2 linked regions of the Ovis aries genome follow. The protein of the gene in region 1 purifies or fractionates together with the protein of each later gene. This does not show direct contact. Links are inferred from orthologs where the notes say so. Each region holds a gene or a part of one and is shown on either strand. Other genes may lie near its edges. The genes, in order: CDAN1 and ASF1B.

Region 1 (9,221 bases):
CCAAGGTGCCCTTAGACTTGGGACTTGGGCAGGGCAGGTCAGGACAGCACAGCTGGGAGAAGCAACCAAGTGGACAGAGGGAACAGATGGAATAGGTAAGCCAAGGGGCAGTGTGCTGCCAGAGAGCTCGAGATGCCGTACCAAGCCAGTTCTGAAAGCATTTATGTCCTATCACGTACATGCGGTATTTTCTGTCCCTCATGATTCTCCATTCATTTTCTCAGGAGAGTCGAGGCCTCAGGACAGAAATCATCTGTGTATTGAAAACCAGTAGCTAACGGCTGCTGAGAGTTTCCTTCTCCGTCTTATATACTCTAGAACTTGAGTCAGTCCTCTTTTGTCCCTAGTTTCAATCATTATTACAACACTACTACCCCAGATCTGGGCCAGTTACTAGTTTAGGTCCCTGCCCCAGCCACTCCAATTCTGCGGCAGAGCATGAAAACAGCTCCAATCCATTTGTAAATGAATGAAAGCGGCCATGTGCCAATAAAATTTTATTTACAAAAACAAGCAGCAGGTTGGATTTGGCCCACGAATTGTTCACTGATTCCTGTTCTAGACAGTATAAATTCTTTTTATCAAATTAAGAGCACTGATAGATTATTCTTACTGCCTGTAACCAAACAAGCATCATCTCCCACATAGGAGAGTGTTTCTGAAATACTGTCCCAATACTGGGATGACTGTTCCTTAGAACTTTCCTACTGCACTAGATAGCCATTCCCTACTCCACTCCCGATATCATCTATGTACCATGTACTCAGTCAACAATTTTCACATCTACCCTCTTCCCTTTTACCCTTTTGGGTGATTCAAGTACAAAAGTCAGAGAAAAGCAATTACTAAAACCATTCAATTCCATTTAGCCCTGCCTAACTCCATTCAGTTAACAAAATGGAAACTAGCTGGACAACACAGAAAGCTGCTACACAAATACTGGAGCTGAGGAAGAAAGAAGGGCAACTAGGAAAAGAGCAGGGAGCAGGAGGAGGGGAGCCGAAGGGAGTAGGGAGCTGTGTACTTTTATCTCGGAGATGAGGTGGGAGGGGAGGGGAGCATGGTGCTCACAGGCACGGGAGCAGCCCCTCCGCTCCCCCCGGGCAGCTGGCTCAGGACCCTGGGCGCGAAGCGTGCGACTCACGGCCGCTTTCACCTCCCTTCTGATCAGTGCTGCAAGTCAGAGGGAGGACAGAGAAGAGTCACCAAAGCAGCCCTGCATAGGCTCACCATGCCAACCCCTGCCCTTCCCTGTTGCCAACTGGCCCTGAGTCCTGTCTTCCCCCAAGTGGCCTCCAACTTCCTGCCAGTCCACTCGAAAAACTTGGTCAGTTACTCCCCTTCCCTGGACCTTACCTGTGATGTTGGCTGACAACCATGCACAGGCTTTCTCTGTTGCGAGGCTCACAGCAATGTTCTCTGCACTGCTTAGAACCTGTGACACAGAAGTAGTTTTGAGTCAGGGGCAAGTTAGGACAGTGGTGAATGCCCAAGTCCAAGACTGGCCCGCCCACCACCTCATGTGCATGTTGACACACACAGCCCCACAGCACTGCTCTCCCACCAGCCCAGCCCACCACCCCAGGACTACTTCCTACGTACGGCTGCCGGAGTCTCCTCAGGAAGCAGTGCCCTCACGGCACCTGGGCTCTTCTTTTGGCAGAACCTGAAAGGAGACAGAGGTCAGTGATGTCTTGAGACATCAGCTGGGTCCCTGAGTGCACCAACTCCCTGAGCTGGGAGAGCTCTGCCACAGGGGAGGGCATGCTCAGCTCTCTGGCCCAGATGCCAGGAGATTGGACACCCAACCACATGCCTTTCCAATTCGACTCTAAACTTGGGTCCTTAAACCTCTAAAAACCAAGATAAGAGCCTACAGAGCAGGCAAAAATAGAATGACAAAAGCAGGGTGGGAGAAGACATGGAATAAACAATATAAGAAAAAAAAGGACAGGAAAGGAAAGGCTAAGAGCAGAGTGGAGATGAGAGGATCCCAACAGACTGGCATCTTACTCCCGCCCCTGGGTCAGCGCCTGGGCCCCGTGAGGGCACAGCTGGGAACACAAGATCTCCAACAGCTGGGCTGGATCGCCTCCTTCCTGTCCCTGGGTCACCAGCTGCTCTTGAAGAAGCGACTCTGCCTGGCGCACCAGCTCTGCCACCAGCGTGGCCCTGCAGCAGGAACAGCAAGATTTTGAGGTAGTTGGAAAGGCTGAATTGGAAAGGGGCTGCAAATTCAAGCAAACCAGGTCAGAACTAACTTGAAAGAATGTTAGCCATTTCAGCCTTCCCCATCCCACTGGGCCCCTGTCCCCACCCCTCAGCTGACTTTCCTCAGTTTGGCAACAAGGTGTTAAAAGGGGGAAAAGGATAAGGAAATGAGCCTGGGACCTGCAACACCTTCATTCCCAACCCCCTCAATTCAGACTCACTTGATATGCTTGACACAGTTAGAACCAATTCTCTCTGCCACGAACTCCACAGTCCTGCGCAGGGAGGGCGGCTGGTTGTGGAAAAAGGCTTGGGCCAGCTGTGCCTGTGGGGAGGAGGGAGCAGTGCAGGCAAGGGCTCCCTTTCCCTTACCCATGAGGTGGCCCTTGCTTCCACCCTGCCCCTTACCTGCAGCCCCTGTGTGGTCTGGGGAGGCTGGGCTCCCAGGCCCGTGGTGGTGGTGGGGGTGATTTTCCTGACGAGGCCCCCACTCCTTCCACTGCTGCCTGACACCCATGAAGCGAGCAGTTTGCGGAGCTCTCCTGCATCAGAGAAGCCCATGTGCTTAGTTCCAGAACTGTCCCACCCTCCCAAGCATCCAGACTAAGCATTTGTGGAATAGACAGAACGAGGCATCAGGGAGCGCCTAAGCACAAAACAAAGTACGAGGGTGCTGGGCCCATGGGATGCATTTTGGGTACTCATGAAGGGGCAGGCCAAGGACCAAGGACCCTTGGGGAAGAGTATCCTCACCAATATAAGGGCAGCAAGTGTAGAGCAGCTGCTGGTCCACCACAGGCATGCTGTCCTGCGGGAGACAACAGGTCAGTTTGCGGAAGGGAAGCTTCCCTTCCTCCCAGAAATGGGGCGGTCGGGTTAGAGAATTACGTGAGACTTCAGCCTCTATTCTGGCTTGTGTTTCTGGGCCCGCTGACAGGCAGGCTACCTCCTTTACTCTTGTGGTTCCCATGGCTCTGGCTGGACCCCAATACTTACCAAGCCATGCTCTGAGGCTACTGTGTCCACCTCAAAGACATCCAACTGACCCTCTTCCAGAAAGAATAGGTCCTCAGGGACTGTGGGAATCTGGCAAAAGATTAGGGGAGTGCCAGCCAGCACTTTAGGGATTCATCACACCTCCAACTTCATGGTTCCAGGGTTTAGACAACCAGGTTCAAAGCCACCTTCCTCTATGGCAACCCCATCTTTCCTCCTCTGAGCCTTTAGCGTCTGGTCCCGCTCTCTGTCAGAGTCCTACACTTTCCCTTTGCCCATTTCCAGCCACAGAAGTCATACCGCCTTTCCCCAACCTGGACCCTCATTCCACCAACCTGGAAAAGCCAGCCTAGGACAGCAAGCAGCAACAGCTTGTTCAGGAAACACATCTCCCCTTCACTTTCCTTTGATAAGACCAAGCTCCTAAAAGGTAAATGAGGGTGTGAGTGGAATCTGTGCAATGAGAGAAATGGAATGGAGTTAAAAAAAAAAAAAAAGCTATCACTGGGAAGGTGATTCTCAAAAGGAGACCTAAAAGGGACTGCTGTTGTGTAGGCAGCCATGTCTCATCACCTCTCCCAGACCTGTACTCACTCTTAGCTCGGCCACAGTAGGAACAGAAAAGGGCCAATCAAAGTGCAAATAACTGCCCACTGTCTGTCCTTGTGGATCAAGGCCTGGCCTTTCCCCTGAGGGTCAGCTATAGCTATGGAAGCACACAGGAAGCACAAGCTGCTTGGCCCTCTTCAAAAAGCAGCAGTCTCAACAACATTCTCCCTGCACCCTTTTCTCAAGCCTTGCCCTCTCTTGACTCACCGATGCAGGTGCAGCAGGAGAGTGAAGATGCTGCGGTAATAGTCCAGCATGGGGACAATGTGGTCAGCAAGAGAAAGGAACTCCACCAGCCAGGGCACTGTGAGCACTGCTCGGCGTGCCCGCAGCCCCTGCTGCAGCAGAGCTCGCACGTCCAGGACTGGGGGCACCTGGGAGGGCCAGGGTCAGTCAGGGGCTGGGGAAAGCCTTCTAACGCCATTGCCATGCGGCTCCTCCCAGCTCCCTCCTTACCAGCGCCCCCATTCACCTGGCTCCTCAGGGACAGAATGGAGTCCTGGAGCTCACGGGTCGGGGGTGGTTCAGGCCCACGGTATGGCAGGAAAGCGACAAAGCCCAAGAATTTGGCCAGAAGCCTTAGGCTGAGCAGCACCACAGCAAACTGCCTCCGTTCACCCTGCAGGCCATCAAGAAGTAAGAGGTCCTAAGCATTAGGCTTCTAGAACAAAACCACATCTGTTACAGACTTCTTGAAAATATCCTTTCCCCTCTAAAGCAAAGCCTCCTTTCTTCTGCTTTCTAACCTGCCAGTCCACGTCTGACTCCCCATCCTCATCACTAGGCTCAGGCTGAGGAAGGGCGAGGCTGTTGAGTTCTCGGATCTTCAAACTCAGACTATCCATGAGATGCTGATTAAACTGGAAGCTATGAAGGGAAGGGGGAAAAAAGGTACTGGAAGAGGTGCAGGAAGGATAATAGAGGTGGTGTTCCAGACAGAAAGGCTCAGTAGGGCAGACACAGGAGGTCAAGGAACAAGGAGTTTACCTTCATAGGTGAGAGAGTGAGAAGGGAAATGGAAGCAGGAAGTGTGGGTTAGAAGGAGGCTGGGCATCCCCCAGTCCCACCCACTGACATTCCAGGCCAAGAAGAGCAAACTCTTGCCCTTCTGGGAACACAAACCTCTTTTTCAGGCCTCTTCCCCCACTCTCGGCAAGACAGGGGACCTTTACCTGCTGGCACTCAAGATGAAGTCCCTGAAGAAGCCCTGACAGCCTGGGAAGGTAGGGGGTGGGCAGGGGCCCCCACTGCTCTGAGGGGCCACAAGCCGTTCCTGTAGGCGCCGCAACCGCCCCAGCTTGTCAGCTCCAAGCATATTTAACACATCCGGAGCCTCACCCAAGACAGTGCCCCCAGCACCACCAGGACTCTGACACATCTGGGGCAGGGGGAGGAGGAGAGAAATTGATAAACCAGTGAGTTTTTCTGGAAAGAAGGGGTGAAGAAAATGAGGAGGAAGCAGTGAACAATACGGGGTGCCCACCCTATATTGTGTGCCATAGATGTATTTTTTGAGGTCTGTGTTATATTCTTATTTTTACAGGTGAAGAAACTGAAATTTTAAGATTCAACATCTGCATAGGGTCACGAGGATTTGAAACCAGACCTAACCTTGCACTCTTTCTACCACACCACAAAGCAAGGGCAAGAAAGCAGGGAGGGACTGAAGGAGGGCCAGGAGAGCTGGGTGTGTGAGGGGGCCCACAGAGGAAGAGCAGAACTCTTGTTTACTCTTCAGCCAAGGACCTGCCTGTTCTCCTGTCCTGTCCCAAAGTGCCAGCCATTCCTTGGCACCTATAATACATACTGTCCACTGGAGACAGATCTCCTGCTGGAGCAATTACCTGGAGAAGTTGTTTCTGGAAAAGTCGAACAAAATGGCTGTGGCTGCAGGCCGCAGAGAGTTGACCCATCATGGCTCTGAGGAATAAGAGGCAGGGATGGAGTGTTATGGGAGGAAGAGGGGGAGAAAGATCTGAGAGAACAAGCCAATCCTTGAGACTTTCAGCCCTCTACCAGGGGCTTGAGCAGCCTTCTACCAGAGCTGGCTGGCACAAGGATATGGGAAAAGGTAAAGGATACTTTCCTTAGCACCAAGATCCCTCAAGGCTAGAGAGACACTTACTGAAACTGTCAGTCGCTCAGTCATGTCCGACTCTTTGCCACCCCATGAGCTGTAGCCTGCCAGGCTCCTCTGTCCATTGGGATCTCCCAGGCAAGAATACTGGAATGGGTTGCCATTTCCTTCTCCAGGGGATCTTCCTGACCCCGAGACAGAATCTGGGTCTCCTGCATTGCAGGCAGGTTCTTTACCATCTGAGCCCCCAGGGAAGCCCTTAACCTTACACTTAACCAAACATGAAATGAGACCACCCTTCTCCTCTTCAGTCTACACTGACTGCCAGTAAGCTTCATGACCAACGTGGATGGGAGATCACCAGACAAGAGGATATTCTTTCTGTATCCTAGTTATCCAGCTACACAAAGTTATCTTGTATTGTCAGATTAGATGATGGAGAAAATAGAGGTTGGAAAGGGTCTAAGCCAGTGACAGGCAAAAACTCACGCAACCTGGAATAAGAGTGTTCCACTTTATCAATCATTTGCAATCACAGAGCAAGTATAAATGATTTCTGAGTAGAAGGAGTTGGAGAAATAAATCCCTTTTGAGTAGAGGCAGAGGTGGCAGTAACTAAGAGATTAAGGAAGACAGAAAACAGCTTTGTGCTGGAAGGAGTTCGGGGTGGGGAGAGAAGCCTTTCTCTAATCAGTTACCCAAACACCACTAAGTTGCTCACTGCTGGAAGCAGGAAAAAGTGATCAGTGTATGAGCACATACCTGATCCTGCTGCCCAAGCCCTTCTCAAAATCCCAGCCAGGCTCCTCATGGCGATCTTCCCACTCTCGAAGTACCTCGTAAAACACATCCCTGGCAGACACATAAGATGTCTGATCAACTGAAGCACAGTTGGCTTAACTCATTCTCAGGAGTGCCTTCTCTAGCTCAGAACTGTAGACAGGACCATTCACAGCTCCATTGCTTATCCTCTCCAAGGTTCTCTATGTGATAATCCCACAGACCCGACAGTAGTACACCACATGCTTCACTTGCTTCTGTGGGCAGTTAAGGCTAATCTGGCACTCTCATCTGAGAACCCTGTGGCCAAAGTCATTACACTGCGAGAAAGCTGCTACTGTCAGAGGTGCGAGTCCATGGGTGTGAAAGAGAATGAGGCTAAGTGGCCCTTAAGATGTTTGCTAGGAAGGGCCTGGTGGTGCTAAACTACACCCGTTAGTGCCAAACATCTAGTTTCTATGAAAACAACATAGGCTGCCTATCCCGGAGAAAATGCTGCTTCATCCCCTCCCCCAGAGTCCCCTTTTCTTATCACCTCTGTTTTTTGAAAGTATGAAAGGCTCGGTCACTGGAGAAGTTAGCACGATTGTCAGTTTCTGGCTGAAAGGAGACAGCTTGAGCAGAAGGTGGCATCGCCAGAGAGACCTAAAACAGTGACATTAGGGACTGAAAGCAGAGTTCACGCTCAGAAAACTTCATCCCCATATTCTAGTCCAGAGTTTTAGGCCGCATGACACTACAGTGGTGTGAGCTGGGCCGCCTGGATTATGAGACTAGGAAGGGTCAGATCCAGGCTAGAAGATGTCTAAGATGGGGTCACTACCTTGGCGACACTGCCCTCATAGGCAGCTCGGAGGCGACCTTGCAGAGCCGGTGAGAAACACAGTAATCGCTCATTCTCAGCCAACAGCTTCAATGTCCCTTTGTCCAGGTGGGAGAGAACGCTGTACAGGGATAAGAGCACACATGACTGAGAATGGGACAGACTGCAAATAGGCAGCTGGCATCTGCACAGCACAGTGTGTTACCTGGAGCACAGAGCAGGTACATAAAAAAAAGAAAAGTCATGCGCCAAGGATTAAAGACGATAAAGGGAAAGGAAACGAGACCCTATGGAGCAGCTAATGATAGCAAAGCAGAAACAGTAAATAAACCCAAAGGTCAGCTACCAAAACTACTGGGGGCAGTTTGATTCTTTCAAGGGCTAAATTCATAGCTTTGACACGAAACTGAAGGGTTACATGTAGGAAAAGGCCTAGGGTCACTACATCTGTGTCAAGCACAAGCATGCCCCCGAAGTAGCCAGAGAATCAAGTGAATAATGTGAATAAGGTTCAAATGCCTCAGCGGGGGAAACTTACTGAAATTGATGTTCCAAAACCTGCACTGCAAAGAAGACACAATCATGGACACTCTGGAACAGAGGGCTTTCCAGGGAATCTAGAAGGACAGTACCAAGCTGTTGGTTAAAAACAATTTCATTTCCAGACATCATTTCTCAAAAAGAGGCTTGTTCACCAACCTACAGCTCCCGGAGTTGGTTCAAGGTCACTGTCTTTGGCAGCCACCATCCTCCGGGCAGTAAGGAGCTGAAGGACGAAGAAAAGCTCCAAGAAGAGGTTTGGTACCAGGTTCTCTGGTTAAAAAGGAAACTCCAGGGTATTGAACGCCAGTCAAAACAAAGGCTCAGTTCAATTCTTTTACCCTGTAGTTCTACAAGTGTCTTCATTCCAGGGCTCTGTTCTCACTCACCTGCAATGCATGAAGAGTAGACAAGGGCAACCAGCTCCAGACGGTGGCGGGAAGATACTCTGGTAGGGTCAGCGGGTTCAGCTGTGAGGTGTCCTGTCCGGCTGGGGTGAGGAGATCCTGGTTCTAGGGTGGGACAGGCAGGAGTAGGTGACTGCTGCAGCTGCTTAGAGCTACCGGGGAAAGAGAAACGTCATGAGCAGTCAGCATGGCTTCCCCTCCACAGCCACACTCAGGTTCCTTAGAGACCTGTCCACAGCCCAGGAAACAGACCCAGGGTTCCCAGGAGACAAATTAATCACAGGGAAAAGCCCTGCAAATCCCACCCCCCAAAGGAAGCTGACATCCCCAGGAGCAGCAAAGCCATACCGCTCCTTCCTGAGCATCTCCCGCTCCTCTTGCAGACTTCTGCACCCTGAGGGAATCCCATGGCCCCAAGGGCTAGTGTCTAGGACTGAGGGTTGGGAACTGGGAACACAGCTGATTGGGGGTGAGGTGAAGCAAGTCTTGGGCTTGGAAAGTGATCGCTCTTCGCTCACTGGAGTTGGGTTGATCCTGCGGGAAGGCTTGGTCCTGTTGAAAAGCAGCCATAGGTTTTCCTAATTCCCATCTTCAAGCATCTCCCCCTCCACCAAAACATCTAGCACCCCTTGCAAAATGCCCCTCACCACGTAGATATTTCACCCCCTACTTTCTTGTTATTACCACGCTCTACTACAGAGCACCCAGCCTTAATTTTTTAACTCCCCTAGCAGAGCCATATTTTAGATGAGGGCTAATTCTCACCCTGCAGAGCCGG
Region 2 (9,739 bases), on another chromosome or scaffold:
ACACCAGCCGGGGCCAACCTTGCAAATAGGCCTTTCTAAGGACAGTGGTCTCAGGCCTGATACAGTTAACTCTTTTGCGCACAGGTATCTTCTGCAGGGCTTCCCAGGTGATGCTAGTGGTAAAGAACTCTGCCTGCCAGTGCAGGAGACGCAGGTTTGATCCCTGGGTCAGGAAGATCCCTTGGAGGCGGGCATGGCAACCCACTCTAATATTCTTGCCTGGGGAATCCCGTGAACAGAGGAGCCTGGGGGGCTACAGTCCATAGCGTCGCAGAGACGGACAAGAGTGAAGTGACTGAAGTGAATGGAGAGTTCCCACCATTCCCTAAATGACACAAGTGGCTCGCGGTGCCTAAACTGTACAATGCGGTTTGGGTCCAACACCTGCTTTCCTTCTGGAGTCTGGAAGTCTGAAACTTGATCAGCCCCCTCCCGCCCCAGCTACCCTAGGTGCCGAGCTTTCCCGGTAGACATGTCACACGTGGTGTCACAGCTCTGCTGTGGGAACTCAGGGAGTCCCATGTGACTTCACCAGGAAAGGACTTGTGGAAGCTTCTGCCTGGTTTTCTCCAGACTTTGCAGCAGCAGCATTTCCATAAAGTTGTAGAACGTGACATACAATACTATATATAGTTCGAAGACACCTATCAAAGATATACAAGCATGTACAGAAAGATAAACACTAAATCCAAGATTGTAGTTACATCTGAAAAGAGGGGAGGAATAGGTTTGAGGCAGGGATATATACGGCCTTTCAATTGCATCACTAATGTTTCACTTCTTAAGCTGGGTAAGGAGTAAAAATGTACTTTGTTATAGCATTTCTTCTTCTGAGTGAGTACACCTGAAATACTACGTAAGAAAAATGATGGCTATGCACTGCTGTTTCTTGTTTATGAAGTAGTTTTCACATTCCAGGTACCATGTAAGCCCTTTATAAGGATTTACTCTTTTTTAAAAACAATCTACTGAAAACTTTCTACATGTGAGGTCCTAACTGAGAGGTCTGTATGAGACAGGTGGGATCACTGTCCTCAACCAGCTTTCAGTCTACTGAGGGACGACAAGAGTTCCCTGGTGTTCTAGCGGTTAGCATTTGAGGCTTTCACTGCTGTGGCCCAGGTTCAATCCCCAGTCAGGGAACTGAGATTCCGCAAGCCATGCAGCGGAGCAAAAAAAAAAAAACATATCTACAGATTCTAGCAAGTGCTCCTAATAAGCAGGCTTTTGTGATAAATGAAGGTCTACTTTAACTAGGATGGTCCAAGAAGGCTTCTTTTGGAGAGACATCTGGGGTGAACCATATATGATGAGAATGAGACAGACAAGCAATTAGCTAAAGGAAGCACGTTCCAGGCAGAGGGAAGAGCAACTGCAAAGCCAGGCAGCAGGAATCAAGTTTGGTGTGTTGAAAGACAGGAAATAAAGCCAGGAGGGCTTGGGAGTGGTGACAAGAGGGAGACTGGCAGATGAGGTCAGTTGAGGCCACTGTGCAGGGCCTCCTAAGCCACAGTGAAGATCTTAAGTTTCATCCTAAGTATGATAAGCCTTTGAAGGTTTTAAGCAGAGTAATGACATGATCTAGTTTACAACTGAAGATTATTCAGCCAGCTGTAGGGAGAAGGCATTATAGACAGAGACATAATACTTGTGACTGATGAACTTTTCAGGGGCTATGAAAAGGTTGGGGCTGAGAATGAAAGAAAAAAAGTTCCACAATGCAGAAAGAAAACTACAAAGTTGTAATGAGTAAAATGTTTAATATCTAGAAAACAAAATATAACAACTTCATCAAAGTTCATATGCATAAGCAATTGAATTACATTTGGAAATAATTTGAAAATTTGACCTTCTCAAGTCACAAAAATTCCTAAGGATGCCCAATGACTGCCAAGAACCCAGAGCCAATCATAATGGGAATTTTCTTGCAGCCAAATCGTTTCAATGAGGGGAAGAATCCTTTCAATCCTACTTGAGATGGAGATACAAAAAAAAAAAAAAAAAAAGAGAGAGAATATTCTGAGCATCACGAGGCCACAGAGGTGGATGGATAAGAAATCCTAGTGGCTTGAAATGTACCGTTCAGGCTTATGTTCCACGAATTTGAATGTTGTCCAGGGGGCTCTTGGATTCTCCGAAGAAATTTGAGCAGAGACTTGAATAACAAGGAGGCACCAGAAAAGAGGTGGGGGGTGTCATGTCAGATTTTATGAAACAAAAAGGTCAGTTTGGCTGAAGTTGGTTTTGGCTATCCAATATCGGAAGCCACAGGGGATGACAAGCACCTCAGTGTGGCTAGTGCCACTGTGAAACAGAACATTCCACGTCGCTTAACTTTCATTAATTAATATTTCAATTTATCACCGACATGAGATTGAGTTCATGGGAAATTTTAACGTATGTTGGGAAACACTTGGGCATGTGAATCTCCATTTCAACTGTAAATTTTATGAAACCTCAACTATTTCCGGTGAAAACCTAGCGTCCGGATCACAGCTGTGGTGTAACGTGTAAAATACACAGGTTTTCAAACCGTTAGTACTAGGTAACAAAATAAAGATACCTCAGGTTCGTGTTTGTTTTTTTTTAATACCGATCACATGTTGAAATGATATTCTGGCTATACTACATTAAGTTTAATATATTTATATATATATATGTAACGTGGCTACTATAGAAAAGTTTAAGATTAGGTTTGTTGACGCCCGTGGAAGCGGACTAAAGGAATGCGGCGGCCCCTCGAGTCTTCCAGACAGGGGGCGACGGTGGTCCCGCCTACGCCTGGGAGTGGAAAGAAGTTTCTAGATGTATTATGTAGTCATAAGTCAGGCCAGTAAAATTTCATCACCCCGTTCAATGAGCAGGGAAATGAGGCCTCGGGTGGTGCGTGGCAGAGGCCGGATTCGAAATCCCATTCAGCGCCGTCCACCTGAAACCTCCCCAGGGGCTCTCAAGTAAGAACCTGATTCGAACCAGGCCCGACTACCGGGTCCCGGGCCCCAGAGCGCCGCGTTAGCGCGGCACCGTCTGCGCTCAAGGGTGAGTTAAACGTTCACAACGTTCACAACGGACGCCCAGCCTGCCGGGTCTGCGGGGCCAGGAGCCCCTTAGAGAAACTTCCGGCAACGCTCACCTGCTGACAGATGCCGATGCCGCAAACGCTGCTCCTTTCTCTTCACACTCTGCTCAACCGCGTCAGCGGCCGACTTCCGCTCCACTTCCACGAATCCCCGGCCGCGTCTTCTCTTCTCCCGCCCCCGCAGCCAACTCAGCCAATCACCTCTCAGGAAACCTGCTTTATCTCCGCCCCATTTCTGCCTGCCAATCACTGCAAGTCCAGCACGTCCCTTCCTTCCCGCTTAAGCGAGCGCTGTGCGCCACCACTCGGCGGTTGACTGCGCTGCCCCCAGCTGGAAGAGTCTCCCGGAAAGGCGGGGCTAATCGCGGACCACGCTGGTGCGGGGACCCTAGGGATTGGCCAAGAAGAGCCAGGCGCTCTGACCCCGCCCACCCCTCCCTGGACGTCCGAGTCGGAGACTCTGGGGATTGGTTCCCCGCGGACACCAAAGAAGCCTAGAGACGGTCCCGCCTCCCTCGCTCATCCCTGAGATGGAGCTCCACGGATTGGTCTCGGGAGTCTCGGCGCGCGCCGACCGGCGCTCCAGGATTGGCTGAGGAAGCACTCGCGCAGTCGTGGAGCGTTGACGGTGATTGGCCGTAGGGTGAGAGCCGGCTATTTGAAGGAGGCGCGCGGACTAGATACGCACTTCAGATCGCGGTCAGAGGAGGCGGGAGCGGGTTTGGGCAGAGCTTCGCCGCTGACCCGACAGGACCCAGGCGCGGGCTCGGCCCCAGCTCTGGCCTCAGCCGTGACCCGACGAGGCGATGGCTAAAGTGTCAGTATTGAACGTGGCGGTGCTGGAGAATCCGAGCCCTTTCCACAGCCCTTTCCGGTTCGAGATCAGCTTTGAGTGCAATGAGGCCCTGGCAGACGGTGAGATTGGGCCCTTGTGGAGACCCCACTCCCCTGAGCTAACCCCGACCTCCCTTTGCAGACAACCCCGAGGCCAACCCTGCCAAACACACTTCCTCTCCCCCTCCCCCTCCCCCAACCGCGATCTCCCTTGAACCAAAGCCCGCCCACCAGCCCCAACCCCGCCCCTTGGAGACTACCCACCGCACCCCACCCCCATGGTTACTCCTCTTTTCCCCTCATGGAGACCACTTCATCCTCCTCTTTCTCCTGGGCGTTCCTCCTGAGCATCTGTTTTCTGTGTAGAGACCTCAGCCTCAGTTCTTTAACCTGCAGAGACCCTCAGCCTTCCCATCTTCCTTGTAGCAAGAAACCCCCCATCTTCTGTTTCTGTATGGACAGACTACCATTCCAGCCACCCAATCCTCCCCCACCAATCCCCTCTCCCCTGTGGTGAGACACTTCCACCTCACTCTTTTCCTGTGGAGATGTAAGCTCTAGCCCCCTCCCGTGTCCCATATGAAAACCGCAGCCTCCTCCCTCATTTTCCCTGTGAAGATCCTCGCCCTCTGGCAAGACCTCACACATCCTTATCTCCCCATTTGTCTCCCCATAATATCCCCTACCTGCTGATACTTAACCCCACCCTACCCCCCTTCAGCTTGTTTCCTACCTCAAAACACATACCCTAGAAACTGGCTTCCCTCCTTAGTCTGGCCCCAACCCTCTACTTCCTCAAGAGAGGCATGACCTGGCTTCCTGCTCCAGTGTTTGAGGATGATCTGGTCTCCCCAGCTCCTCTTCCTTCCTCTTCCCTGACTGTGGGCTTCAATGAACACACTCAGATCTGAGGAGTGGCATGGCCAGGCACACGTTAGCTGGTTCCTGCTGTTGGCCTGCTGGATTCCTGCTGACCCACTGCAGCAAAGCTTGCAACACTTTTGATGGCCTGACCTCGACTTGCGCGGTGTGGGGTGGGTGTGCCAGGCCGAGCCATGGTGATGTTTGGCTTCAATCTGGGAGGTCACAGCCTTTTGTGCACCTTTTCCAAGGTGCTTTCACAGATGTGCTTATTCATCCCTGTGACAAAAGGCGGACATGGCTCTCATCTCACAGATGAGAAGGCGGGAGACAGAGTAAAAGACCTTTCAAGTAAAGGCCTATAAAAACCAGAAAGGCTAAGGTTGTTCAGCGAGTCTTGGCACCACTTTCAGGAGGAAGTACTTCCATTAGATGTCTTCTCTACTTGGTGGTTAGAAGAGAAGAGGCAGCCTCTAAGGAGGTAGAGATCTGGAAGGCAAGGGTGTGCTAAACTAGTCGTTCTCAGTGGTTGGTGGGTGGTTTGCCTACAAATGGGCTTCTCCAACTAACATGGGGTTGAAGAGTTTTGATGTGTGCTTGGGTGGGGCCATTGGATCACTCCCTGCTTTCTCTCGTTTTTAAATCAAGGAGTCATTCTACTTATGACTAACTATAGAATATGCCCAGTTAAATCCTTTCTGGAACAAGGCGGGGTGTAAATAAATAAATAAAGTGTAGAATGACCCTGTGGAATAAGATTTAATTTTAAAGCCAGGAGATGTAAGGAGCTAATAGTTCAAGGGATTCATAGTTCCCAGATGGCAGGAGATCGGGTTTCAATCAGCCTGTTTGAGCTCCTGGCATTTAAAAATGGTTGCATGGTCATTATCTAGTACTTTCATTCCTGCAAAGCTACTGCCCTGTTACTTTATTAATCTGTTTATAGAATCAGGAGAGTCTAAAGTCAACCTGCTGGTCATTGTTTTTTATTTGTGTTATATTTTGTTTAAGATTTATTTATTTTTGGCTGAGCTAGATCTTCGGTGCTTTGCTCAGGCTTTCTCTAGTTGGGGTGAGCAGTGACTACTCTTCGTTGTGGTGCATTGGACTTCTTGCTGCGGTGGCTTCTCTTGTTGAGGGGCACAGGCTCTAGGTGAGCAGGCTTCAGTAATTGGAGCGCTCGGGAGTAGTTGCTCCACAGCATGTAAGGTCTTCCCGGACCAGGGATCAAACCCATGTCCCCTGCTTTGGCAGGTGGATTCTTAACCACTGGACCACCAGGGAAATCCCTAAAGACAGTTCTTTCTTTCCCCAAGGTCATTATTTTTCTAATGGAAACAAAATGATTTTTCCAAGGTCACACAGCTGGTGTGTAGAATTATTCACAACTAGGTCTTGTTTCTGAGTTCTGAGTCCAGGGTTCTTTATCTTTGCTATAAACTGGAAAAGAATGCACCCACTATTTTAGAAGTGAGACATAAACAGGACAGAAGAGGGCAACAGGGTCTTATTATTAATTATACCTGAACAATAAAGCTTTTGCTCAGAAGAATTCCAGTTGGAAAGCCAACTCTGGCCTGGAAGTCTACACTCTCTGGTTGTACCTGTAGGGCTGTGCTTCACTCTGACCTGTCAACATGCTTTCTGCCTCTTCCCACAGAGCAGAAAGGATTTGTCTCCTGCCTCCCAAACAAATGGAGTAGGCCTGGCTTTAGAAGTCTCTTAGATTCTGGAGAAATTCTCAGTCAGCCTTATTACCTGGTAACTGAAGATCTGAACACCCAGCCCCAACTCTGAGCCATTTCTCAAGGGCTCTGAAATGTTTTAACTCTCTCTCCCTCTCCCCGCTCAGCAGCATGTGGAAATAGATGCGTCCAAGGCCTGGGTCTGTATTCAATACATTGGGTGTGTTTTCCCCCAGTTTAGTTGAGAGATTCATGAGATACTGCCTGAACAAGTCTTAGAGCCAGATTTTCTGACCTACACCGAACACGCTGTGGTCAGGCCAAGGTTCAACTGTATTATGAACAAAGGGAAAGTGATAAACAGAAAAAGGCATACTAGATAAGTTGTTGGGGTTGGGGTTGTTTTGTTGTTTTTTTGATTGTTTGGGACTTGTGTGTGTGTGGCTACGATGGGTCTTCATTGCTGCACTTGGGCTTTCTCTAGTTGGGAGCAGGAGCTACTCTTCGTCATGGTGCTTGGGTGTCTCATTGCAGGAGGCTTCTCTTGTTGTGGAGCCTGGGCCCTAGGATGAGCAGACTTCAGTAGCTGTGGCACACGGGCTCAGTGGTTGCGGCGCATGGAGTTGGTTACCCTGAGACCTGTTGGGATCATCCTGGACCAGGGATGGAGCCTGTGTCTCCTGCATTACAGGTGGAGTCTTATCTACCGTGCCACCAGGGTAGTCCTGTTTGTGTTTTGGGGGGGACAGGAAACAGATTCTCCTGCTAGTTCAACTACCGTAATTTTTTTTATGTTTTTCATCATACCGTTGGTCTGGATTTTGTTTTCATACATAGTGGAGGAGCATTTTGTGCAGTGGTTAGATGATAAAGTTAAGGCATAAAGTCAAAACAATGGAATCCATTTACCCTTGGAATTACTTAGAAGGCTAGGCATACGTTACACATGTGCGACCTTAATTCATATTCAGCAGGAATGAATTTGTGCTGTTTGTGATTGACGTCCTCACAGCTCATTCAAAAAAGTGAAGTCATTTCAGGATGCCTCTGCTTAAGAGTCCTTGTTTTAGTCATCTTCCATCTTCCATAGATGATTTTATAAACTCTTTAACTTATTTTTTTTTAATATTTATTTATTTATTTGACTGCCCCGAGTCTTAGTCACAGTATGCGGAATCTCTTTAGTTGTGACATGCGAACTCTTATTAGCAGCATGTGGGGTCTAGTTCCCCAACCAGGGATTGAACCTGGGCCCGCTGCATTGGGAGCTCGGAATCTTAGCCACTGGACCACCAGGGAAGTCCCTCAGCTCCTTAATTCCTGAGTGAGTATTGTCGGCCTTGGTTAATTCTCTGGTTTCTTTCTGACCTGAGTACTGGGAACCACTTCAACCCATTCGCCTGACCACCTGCGTTTCTCTCTTCCAGTCTGCACCCACACAGGCTTGTTTAGGTTTTGCCAACAGGTGTTTTTGGGTTTGGGCCATTCCGTGCCAAATTTGGGATCTCAGTTCCCTGACAACCAGGCCACAGCAGTGGAAGACGGAAATCCTAACCACTAGGCAACCAGGGAACTCCGTTGTCAACAGCGTTGAAAACTGAGTGCCAGTCGCATACACTAGGCCCTATTCTATTAAAATTTCCCTTTTGTATCCACCCTCAGCACGTTAGTCATGCTTCCCAGGTGGCTCAGTGGTAAAGGAATCTGCCTGCCAATGCAGGAGACTCGGGTTTGATCCTGGGTTGGGAAGATCTCCTGGAGGAGGAAATGGCAACCCACTCCAGTATTCTTGCCTGGAGAATTCCACAGACAGAGGAGCCTGGAGGGCTACAGTCCATGGGGTCACAAGAGTCGGACACAGCTTAGCCACTGAGCACATAATGCAACACGTTAGTTAAGTGCGCACATATGTGACTCCACTGATGATGGGGAAGGCGGCCAGAAGGAAAGACACCAGATGATAGAACTGTGTCAGAAAGGTGAGAACAGGGCTAGCTTGTTTTCTGTTCATCCAAAAACGTGTTATTTTGGGTTGTGTCACTACTTGTAGCAAAAATAAATCAGTAAGCTTAACTCCTTCCTGCAAGTAAGAGAATGGGCTTTGACTGAAGCCCAGTTCAGTCCAATGGCCACCCACATCCTGTAGACCTGATAAGGTCCCTGAGTAGAAGGCCGGGTGTCAGCTGTGAAAGGGCAGGAAACCAGCGTATCGAGGAAGGGCGTGGAGCTCAGGTGACAGGCCCCCATAGTTGTGGCCCGGCATTGCTGTGCTTCCGAAGTTGGGTGCCCTGCGACTTCCCCGGTGGTCCAGTGGCTGAGATGCCAAGCTTCCAATGCGGGGGGGCTCAGGGTTCAATCCTCGGTTGGGGAACTAAGATCCCACGTGCTGTATGGCAAAGCCAAAAATAAAAGTTAAAAAAGGGACTGCCACGGTTCAAATTAGATTTAGGACATGATAAGATTAATAAGGAACAGGGGTCTAAGGATTATGAGAGGCCATTCCCCGCCTCCACAAACACCTCTGGGAAAATTGAAATGACAGTCGGGGGGAGATTTCTCAGGCCCTTGTAGACAAGTGCTCAGTTGCTCATGTCTGACTCTTTGACCCATGGAATTTTCAGGCAAGAATCCTGGAGTGGGGTGTCATTTCCTTCTCCAGGGGATATTCCTGACCCAGGTCTCTTTCGTCTCCTGCACTGGCAGACAGATTCTTTACCAGTAGCACCACTTATAGACATGGGGGTGACCTTATCCACTCTCAGCCCTACCCTCATTCACTGCCCTCTCCCTCAGAGTAAACAGTAAATTCAAACGACAGGTGTTTCTAATTCACCTGTGCGTTTTAGAAGCAGAAACAATAACATTTCAGTCAGGAACTGTCTCAGGAAGACATGTGTTCCTTTGGCAAAATGCACTCCAATTCATTTCCTAGAATGAGCTCTCTTAGACGCATGTGATGTCCATACTGCCTGAAGGGCCAAGTGATTTTAGAAGGACTTCCCTGGTGGTCCAGTGGCTAAGACTCCGAGCTCCCAATGCAGGGGGCCCAGGTTCAATCCCTGGTCAGGGAACTAGATTGCACATGCCACAACAAAGAGTTCACAGGCCTCAACTAAGACCCGGTGCAGCCAAATAAATATTTTCTTAAAAAGGCACCAAAGTTGGGTGCTCTTGTGGGACACTAGACCAAGGAACAGGGCAACGTATAAGACAGTGTGCTTCCTGCGAAAATCACAGCTTGTGAAACTTCTCCCCGGGCTGCTGGAGCCGGTAGGTTGTG

The links.
Region 2: the proteins of CDAN1 (region 1) and ASF1B purify together in Homo sapiens (co-immunoprecipitation; 5 studies listed by BioGRID and IntAct, counting the BioPlex papers as one, with this or other methods). This does not show direct contact. The link is inferred for Ovis aries from reciprocal best matches to the Homo sapiens genes CDAN1 and ASF1B.

The regions. Positions count from the first base shown.
Region 1 is NC_056060.1:36,247,722-36,256,942, forward strand, and holds part of CDAN1 (codanin-1), read right to left. Parts: coding exon 9,209-9,221; intron 8,996-9,208; coding exon 8,792-8,995; intron 8,596-8,791; coding exon 8,426-8,595; intron 8,310-8,425; coding exon 8,196-8,309; intron 8,114-8,195; coding exon 8,035-8,113; intron 7,618-8,034; coding exon 7,497-7,617; intron 7,319-7,496; coding exon 7,209-7,318; intron 6,746-7,208; coding exon 6,656-6,745; intron 5,737-6,655; coding exon 5,661-5,736; intron 5,195-5,660; coding exon 4,989-5,194; intron 4,684-4,988; coding exon 4,563-4,683; intron 4,436-4,562; coding exon 4,289-4,435; intron 4,191-4,288; coding exon 4,024-4,190; intron 3,631-4,023; coding exon 3,543-3,630; intron 3,298-3,542; coding exon 3,208-3,297; intron 3,020-3,207; coding exon 2,965-3,019; intron 2,754-2,964; coding exon 2,620-2,753; intron 2,537-2,619; coding exon 2,433-2,536; intron 2,173-2,432; coding exon 2,014-2,172; intron 1,667-2,013; coding exon 1,603-1,666; intron 1,436-1,602; and 4 more. UniProt on the Homo sapiens protein: May act as a negative regulator of ASF1 in chromatin assembly.
Region 2 is NC_056058.1:9,897,560-9,907,298, forward strand, and holds the start of ASF1B (histone chaperone ASF1B), read left to right. Parts: upstream 1-3,765; 5' UTR 3,766-3,885; coding exon 3,886-3,994; intron 3,995-9,739. UniProt on the Homo sapiens protein: Histone chaperone that facilitates histone deposition and histone exchange and removal during nucleosome assembly and disassembly. Cooperates with chromatin assembly factor 1 (CAF-1) to promote replication-dependent chromatin assembly.